2 linked regions of the Neurospora crassa OR74A genome follow. The protein of the gene in region 2 purifies or fractionates together with the protein of the main gene of each other region. This does not show direct contact. Links are inferred from orthologs where the notes say so. Each region holds a gene or a part of one and is shown on either strand. Other genes may lie near its edges. The genes, in order: ckb-1 and crf6-1.

Region 1 (4,047 bases), on a different chromosome or scaffold from region 2:
TCGCCAATAATAAATAATTATCCCCGATCTAAACCTTATAGATTATATACGTAGAGTATCGGAATATAACTTTATAAATCCGGAGGTTTATAAACTATATAATTTTAAAGGTAATTAAGGATTGTCCGCCTAACCCATTAACCCCATATTTATCAACCGTAACCAGTATAATAACTACTATATATTCTCTTATAATAAACCGCCCTACCGGGTAATATAGTAAAATACTTAGAGAAGGGGGAGGGCGCTAATATTTATATTTCGCTACTATAGTAAAAGTAAAGGAGGAGGAGGTATTTAACGAGCGGTAACGTAGGAGTTAATAGGAGAGGGCCTTACGCGGGTAGATTTAGAAGTATTTATTTAGAACTTTATAGAAAGTATTATATTATAGCAAATATTAATATTAAAAATACCGCTAGCTCCCTTACCTTCGCTTTTTTACCCCCCAACTCCCTTATAGAGAACTCTAACACCCTCTCTATCTCCTTATCCCTAAGTTTAATAATAGCCGCTAATTTAGTAATAGCCATCTTATAACTATATACTAACTCCTACCGGCCCTAATTAATTCAATTATAAATTATTAGCTTCTATTAAATAGCTGCCTTAATACTAGGATAGTCCGCCACCTTCTAACTAATAATAAGGGGAGGGATAGGTTATACTAGCAATATAGTATAAGCGAATTCCAGCCCCTATAGCACTACCTCTAATATTTCTAGTATATTTATAGGGATATAATATAGGGGTTCTCCAATACTCTAGGTAGTACTTTGGATAGTATTTATACAACGGGTATTAAAATTAGGGTAGGCACGTACACTCTAACTCTAGGCAATAAGTATAGTATTAGAACTAGCAAAGAGGACAGTAGTATTACTAGCAACTATAGTATTAACCGCCTTAGTAGTAGATTATTAGGATAATTAACTAGATTAACGATTTTTGAATACCCTTATATAAAAAAGAATAACGTAAAAGACGTAGATCTAGTAATGCGCGGGCATCGGTTACGTGGCCTCTATTGTATGTGTGTACTGGCTGGGCGGCTGGGCGGCTGGCTGGGCTTACTCAGCGAAAGTATGTGGGGGGGACTAGCCAGGGACCAGTTTGGGTCTAGCCAGCTACCTTTTGCGTTCATCAACCATCACCAAATGGACCCTTTACTTATCTTGGTTCCACCTGATAAAGTAGACGGTTGGGTTCCGACGCGCTGCCGCACGCGCATGTGGCAGGGCTCAGCAGGGTTATGTGAGAAGGCGCAAAAATCAGGCATCATACTACCGTGGGGCTGGGCGCGGGGCTGCTCCCTGCGGGAAGGGTTGAACGAGGAGGATTGGGAAGGGCCCAGACTGAAAAGACGGGGCGCGCCGCACAGACCAGACACCCACGAGTGGGCTGTAGCACGAAATGAGGGCGCGGGCTTCTTCTCGAGCAACCCCAAAAGGCAAACAGACTGAGCCATCGAGTCGACGGCCTCCGTTAGCGCAAACTCCAAAAACAGCACAGGAAGGGAACCACCAACCACCTCCTTCGCTGCAACACCACGTAGACAATCATTGAAGCGCCTAGCTATTCTGTCTGTCCTTTCGTCCATCTATTTGCGCCATCTCATGCGCTCGGTCATGTCTACGCAATAAACAATTGAACCCTTCCATCCAGCATCGCAGATGAGCGTCGACCCCAAGGGACACTAGCTATACCCAGTCGTCGTCTTGCGCCTTTCGATCGCACTCATCAGATAACGTCCGATAGCGGTACCAACAGCCTCATCGAACGCCTACTCCGTCGCCAAACACTCGAATCGTTTCGCGTCGCTTCCATATCCAATTCCACCATGTCGAGCTCGTCGGGCGTTCCAGAGTCATGGATCGCATCTTTCTGCTCCCTCCTGGGACACGAGTATTTTGCCGAAGTGTCAGAAGAATTCATCGAAGATGACTTCAACCTTACTGGCCTGCAGACCCAGGTCGCCATGTACAAGGAGGCTCTCGAGGTATGCTTGTTCTGGAACCTTTTTGTCCGTTACGTCAGCAGCTAATCATTGTGGTTTTAACCTGACTAGATGATCCTTGATGTCGAGCCCGAGGACGATGATGACGAGGAGGAGGAGGACGAGGAGGACGAGGAAGACATGTCCGGTGGCGACGGCATCAACAAGCCCCACGGCGAAAGGAGACATCACAGCCGCATCGCGAGCGATCTTTCTGTGATCGAGTCCTCGGCCGAGATGCTGTACGGTCTGATCCATCAGCGCTTCATCTGCTCGCGGGCGGGTATCCAGCAAATGTCGGAAAAATACGAGCTCGGTCACTTCGGCATCTGCCCACGCACAAACTGCAACCAGACCCGCACGCTGCCCGTCGGCCTCTCGGACACGCCCGGCGAAGACACGGTTAAGCTGTTCTGCCCGTCTTGCTTGGACGTCTACGTACCGCCAAACAGCCGCTTCCAGACGGTGGACGGCGCCTTCTTCGGCCGCACCTTTGGCGCGCTCTTCCTCATGACCTTCCCCGAATACGACTTGACCAAGACCGGCGCTGAGAGCGTTAGCAATCTCACACGATCCGGCTCTGACGACACCACCGTCATTAACGGCATGTACGCGCGCAACATAGCGCCGGGGCTGGGCAGGGGCAAGATTTACCAGCCCAAGATCTACGGGTTCAAGGTGTCAGAAATCGCGCGTTCCGGGCCACGCATGCAGTGGTTGCGCAGCAAGCCTGACGACTTGAGCGTGCTGGACGAGGCTCGTCGCTATGCGGAACAACAAGGGTCGGATGACGAGGACGAGAGCATGGGTGTGAGCAGCAGGACAGCTTCGAGGCGGCGGGGGCCTCCTAGGAGGCAAAAGCAGAACGGGAGTCCGATGGCGATCGAACAGAATGGGGCTGAGTCGGAGCTTTGAGGTCGAAGTTGTAGGCTGGAACTTGGGTTTAAATGGATATTGAAAGGGGAGGATCAGGTTTTGTAGGTAAGGAGTAAGGAATTGTGTGCGCAAGCATCTGGACAACGGACTGTTGATCACTTCTTTTTTACATCTTCCTCTAAACCTGGCATTGATTTGTATCACACGCACAAATATCCTTTGGGCTTTCTTTCTGATTCTCTACGTCATGGCGGGGGAATGGACGGACGGGTTCAGGAATCGGTTACAGTAGCTTGCAAGAGCGCTTTTTGGTTGGGTTGGGGTTCTTCTTTTTTCTTTTCCTTTTTCTATATCAAGGTTGATTTTCTCTTACACAGCGAACTCGGACGTAAATTCGCATTCCAATGATGATTGCATGCCGGTTATAGACGATGAGAGGAGGACGCAATATTGTTCGTTCCTCTTGTGGTTTACCCGTCAGTTCGCAACGCAGTTTTAAATTAAATCATCTTGGTTTTTCCACTTCACTACCACCCCCTACGCGGAGGAACCCCTTCTGACCATGGTAGCTACATTCCAAGATAGGTATTTTTGTTGCTGGCAAATATGGGTCCGTCATAAGCCGGTCATACGGGAAGACTCTGTCAGTAACATGACCATCGGATTACTCCATCCTTTTATCTATGACCTTTTTTGTTTCTTCCTTTTTTTCATTTTCTTTTTCTCTTCCAACTCCCCCCCCCCCCCCCCCCCCCCCGACCTACAATTCTTGTCTTTCTTCAACAGTCTTGTTGACTATTCTCTCGATGCCATACTGTCATGCTGACTCACGCAGATCTTAGCCTGTCTTCTTCCTATACTGCGGCTACCGAATTTTGGGATGTGAATTTACAAAATACCTACCAATCAGGAAAATGGGTTCACATCTCACAAGCGTATGTTACCAATCTCATCAGCCTGATGCAAAGAACGACCGACGACGAATATACAAGCTATATTAGTATTGACAGAAGAAGACAAAGTAAACAGATTGTGATTGTTGTTGAAGACAGAGATGGATATGCCAATTTATTCGAGGAGTGACAGATACTCAAGTTGCTATGTACCTTGCCCGAATCTTCGGGCCCGGCTCCTGCCTCTCCGTAACGACGTGAAAAAAAAGATTGTGATATTAG
Region 2 (4,584 bases):
AGCGCTCGGACTCCTCCCACAACCGTATCGTTTAAGGAAATCACTCGCAGCATCACGGATGCCGTCAACGATCACGATGCAGAGAGGCGCAGGGTTACTGACATCAAACCGGACTTCCGAACAGAGCTCTGGCTGCCTGTCGACATATGTTTCCTGCGCCCCGGCCGGGCAGTGACTCACAACCAATCTACTCTGATAGCAGTCTATTCCACATGTTGTCGAGGCAGAAATGACATCGGCATCAAGACGTTGAAGATAGTTGCCGACAGAGGTCAATGTTGGCAGTCAAGGAAGGCTGGTGGCCCCAGCAGCACGGGATCGTGTGGATCCATCGTCCTGGACGGATCTGCTCCAGCTGCGCCAGGGAAGCGGTGCCTCTACCATACCCACTTGGACATACTCATAATCTGAAGGGAGTTTAGGACTGGTATTTCTTTGGTCGGATAGGCATGAGACGAGGATAAAATCTTTGATTAGGTATATCTGTTTCTCTTTGACACTTTTGGAGGCTCTCGGATTACGTTTGTGGAATGGGTTAAATAGAGGTGGCCCCGCACAATCACCTACAAGATGTTGTCGTCCTGACTGCCTGCCTGGGTTTGCCTGCGTCGGCTCGCAGTAGGTTCTCTTCGAGCCGGAGCTCCAGTGGCGGGAAATCATCCAAATCACCTTGGTGCCGGTGCTCGCGGTGTACCAAGTTGAAGTGAAGCACCAGGAGAGACCAGTGCATGGCTGGCACCTGCACCGGAGCTGACAAAGAAAACCCCTTCGACGCCAGCATGCCTACCTAGAAAAACCGGGCGACGTCCACGTACCGGGAGTATTCTCAGCTTGTCGTCCATCTTCCATCTTTCCCACCTTGTTGATTCCCAAGTCGCACCGGTACACAGTCGATGTGCCATCAACCGACAACAACACTTCTCTGAATCATTTGTTGTTATATCAACCACATTCCATCCTTGAACTTCTTCCAGTGTTGTATAACCTGATAGCTGAGCGGTCATAACCATACATACCTCCAAGCAATTGAATCGGGAATCGCCCGCTCTCGCCTGCCTCACACCGCCCACGCCGTCTGGAAGGGTACGATCGGAGTGGGCAACCAACGAGCTGGCAAGCTCCAGCAATGATATCCGACCAGGCTCGAGCCGCGTTGGGTTTGTGTCCTGTTATTCGTTCTTTCCAAACCCAAACTTACAAGAAACATTGATCTTACAGATCTTCGTCACACAACTGAAATTCGTGCGTTGTGAGCAAAACGGGCAAGGATCGTGACAGCGCCCATCGGACTGGATTAGGCAAGTGTGCTTCCTCCTGGCGCTACCATCCAGTGAAAGAGAACATCATTGAAGTGGTCAGATCACAAGACACGCGTTACATTTCGGTTTCGGTAATTACGGAGCTGGAACCTTTATGTGGCGGTCCCACACTTGAGTTCGGAGGTTGCTTCCAACGAAACTGACCAATCAGAAAGTGGGACTGAGCAAGCATTGAGTTGAGGGCAAGCGGGCCTCGTCTGAAGCACAAGCCAGGCAGTGGCCCACTGGTGTTGCTGGTTCTGGTTCACCATTTTCATGGATTCTTCTCCTCCGTCCATCACTGCGATTTTCCGCTACACCATCACCACTGCCAGCCCCCTCCCAGGGTCTCCGGCCTTGACCATTTCCCCCACCACCACTCCTCCCACGGCACCGCGATTGTGAATCTCGGGCTTGAAGATTCACTCTGCAGTCTGCTGCCTGGAGGCTCTTAATTCTTCCATGACTTGTGAGTCCAGCCACTGCCGCCCACTGCCCACTGCCCACTGCCCACTGCGTGCCCTGCCCTGCGTATTCGCCTTGCATTTTCCCCATCATTTCGCCCATCGAAGCGGGCCTCGTCGCCCTTGATATCCATCGTCTACCAGCTTGTAGAGGTCGCCAGACCGTCGATTCTTGATGAATATCGCCTCTACAGCTGCCCTAGACCATGGCCTGCTCTCCCGTGCCCTCAGGGCGCCCACACGCGACTGCAATCGCCGTCGCCGTCCGCCTCATCATCCACAGCCTTGCCTCCATCACTTACACGCGAGCCAATGCGACAATCATCATTGAGGGTCGTCCGCTACCCCGATACCGGATTTCTCTGATGATTCCGGGTCGCAAGAGTGGCCTCTTTCCATCGCCCCAAGTAGTGATTCGTAAATGACGCGTACCGCTGGCTGACATCGTCGTCTTACAGCAGGCAGCCTCCGCGTCTAAGTCTCAAAATGTCGACATCTCCCGAATCCGGTCCGGTGTTCGGGCATGTGTCACCGCCGGCGGATGACAGCCACTTCAACTTTACCAACGATACCGAAAGCACGAGCGACCTTTCAGACGTTAATGCCGCCGAGGCCGACCCAAATGACGACGCCGACGCCCAGTCGTATCAGCCTGCCGACGAGGCTGTCTCGCCGATACAAAAACCCGAGTTGACGTTCGAGGAAGCGTCCGATTCAGCAAGTGATAACGACGCGTCAGATGACGGAGACTTTGACGCCCCCGATAGCCCCAGGTCTGCTCAGAGCAACGAAGTCGTGTCTGCCTCGTCGTCCCGTACCGTCGTGAAGCGCAAAGTCGCCCACGCGACCGAGGATGATTACATCAGAGAGAATCCTGCCCTGTATGGGTTGAGGAGGAGTGTACGAATATCCCGCATTCTTGTTGTGTTATACCATGCTAACGACCTACAACAGTCACGCCCTACACAACGCCGTGCGCAGATCGTAAGTGGATCAAGATGAGCTCTCGTCGTTACGCCTCTCCTAACTGAGTAAACAGATCGACTCAGATGAAGAAGATGAACCATCCGAATCGGATGCCACACCGGTGTCTAGAAAGCCTGCGAAGAGACGTCGGGTTGAACGCTCGTTGCCTGGTAAGTTTTCATCCGTCATACTCCTCGGCATTTTGTTTCACTGCTGACTTGTCGTGATTTCCAGCTTCCAAGCGTGGCACTCCTGCTCGCCAACCCTCAATCGATGATTCCGACTCGGACACATATGGAGGCGCCAAAGCCCGCAGCTTCCAAAGAAAGGTCCGCAGGCAACAAGAACAGGACCCTGCCTTGGCTTTTAGCGAAAAGAGATGGTCTAGCCGTCGGGCCGCCCAGGTCTCAGCCGGTGCCTACCAAGAAAGTGACGCCGAAGAAGATGAAGAGGACGACTCCGAGCTTACCCCCAACTACTGGTCTGCCAATGTCGAGGATAACTCGCCATACATCGAGAAAATCCTCGGTCATCGTCCTAAGGAGGGTGTCGAGGTCACGGTGGATTCTACGCGACACGACTTTGAATACTTCATCAAGTGGCAGGGACAATCATATCCCCACAACACCTGGGAAACTACGGAAACTGTCGCAGGCTTCCGAGGCTTTCGCCGCCTCGAAAACTATTACAAGAAGGTTGTTGAGTACGAACTGGAGATGCAATTCGGTGGCGACGATATCAGTCCGGAGCAGAAAGAGCAGTGGTACCTGGATAGAGAACGTGAGCAAGAGGCCCTCGAAGACTACACAAAGGTCGAGCGCGTTGTGGCTGTCAGAGACGGTGATGAGGGCACCGAGTATTACATCAAGTGGAAGGGCCTGCAATACGACGAGTGCACCTGGGAAGCCGAGTCTCTCGTGGCCGAACTTGCTCAGGACAAGATTAACCAGTTCCTCGACCGATGCAACCGGTCATGGCAGTCTGACCGCAAGCAAACTAACCCCGATACCCGGTCGAGGATGACCAAACTGGAGAAGCAGCCTGACTATATCAAGGGCGGCGAGCTTCGCGAGTTCCAAATGAAAGGCCTTAACTTCCTTGCTCTCAACTGGGTAAGGGGCAACAACGTCATCTTAGCCGATGAAATGGGTCTGGGAAAGACTGTCCAAAGCGTCTCGTTCCTCAGCTGGTTACGGAATGAACGCGGCCAGGAAGGACCGTTCCTTGTCGTCGCTCCTCTTAGCGTCATCCCCGCTTGGTGCGATACATTTAATCATTGGGCTCCGGATCTCAATTACGTCGTTTACCTGGGCCCGGAGGCAGCTCGGTCCAACATTCGAGATTACGAACTTTTTGTGGATGGTAACCCAAAGAAGACCAAGTTCAATGTCTTAGTCACTTCCTATGACTACATCTTGGCCGATGCGGATCATCTCAAGAACATCAAATGGCAAGTTCTCGCTGTTGACGAGGCCCACCGTCTCAAGAACCGAGAGTCACAGCTCTACATCAAGCTCAACAACTTCGGCGTTCCTTGCAAGGTCCTCATTACCGGCACACCCATTCAGAACAATCTGGCCGAACTCTCAGCCCTCCTCGACTTCCTTAACCCCGGAAAGGTCGTCATTGATGAGGAGCTTGAAGCGTTGTCTACCGCAGATAACAAAGGTCCCACTGATGAAGAACAGGATGAGGCTAGGCGTATCAGGACCCAAGAGAAGCTCCGCGAGTTGCATCAGTCAATCGCTCCTTTCATTTTGCGTCGCACCAAGGAGACGGTCGAGTCGGACCTCCCCCCCAAAACCGAAAAGATCATCCGAGTTGAGTTGTCTGACGTGCAACTTGACTACTACAAG

What was found.
Region 1: the proteins of crf6-1 (region 2) and ckb-1 purify together in Saccharomyces cerevisiae (affinity purification with mass spectrometry, with the first as the bait; 5 studies listed by BioGRID). This does not show direct contact. The link is inferred for Neurospora crassa OR74A from reciprocal best matches to the Saccharomyces cerevisiae genes CHD1 and CKB1.

The regions. Positions count from the first base shown.
Region 1 is NC_026506.1:1,759,303-1,763,349, forward strand, and holds ckb-1 (casein kinase II regulatory subunit), read left to right. Parts: upstream 1-1,407; 5' UTR 1,408-1,840; coding exon 1,841-1,999; intron 2,000-2,068; coding exon 2,069-2,911; 3' UTR 2,912-3,453; downstream 3,454-4,047. UniProt on the Saccharomyces cerevisiae protein: Regulatory subunit of casein kinase II/CK2.
Region 2 is NC_026501.1:4,381,155-4,385,738, reverse strand, and holds the start of crf6-1 (chromodomain helicase, variant), read left to right. Parts: upstream 1-1,599; 5' UTR 1,600-1,767; intron 1,768-1,897; exon of another isoform or gene 1,898-2,220; 5' UTR 2,221-2,248; coding exon 2,249-2,662; intron 2,663-2,716; coding exon 2,717-2,746; intron 2,747-2,801; coding exon 2,802-2,898; intron 2,899-2,962; coding exon 2,963-4,584. UniProt on the Saccharomyces cerevisiae protein: ATP-dependent chromatin-remodeling factor which functions as substrate recognition component of the transcription regulatory histone acetylation (HAT) complexes SAGA and SLIK. It recognizes H3K4me.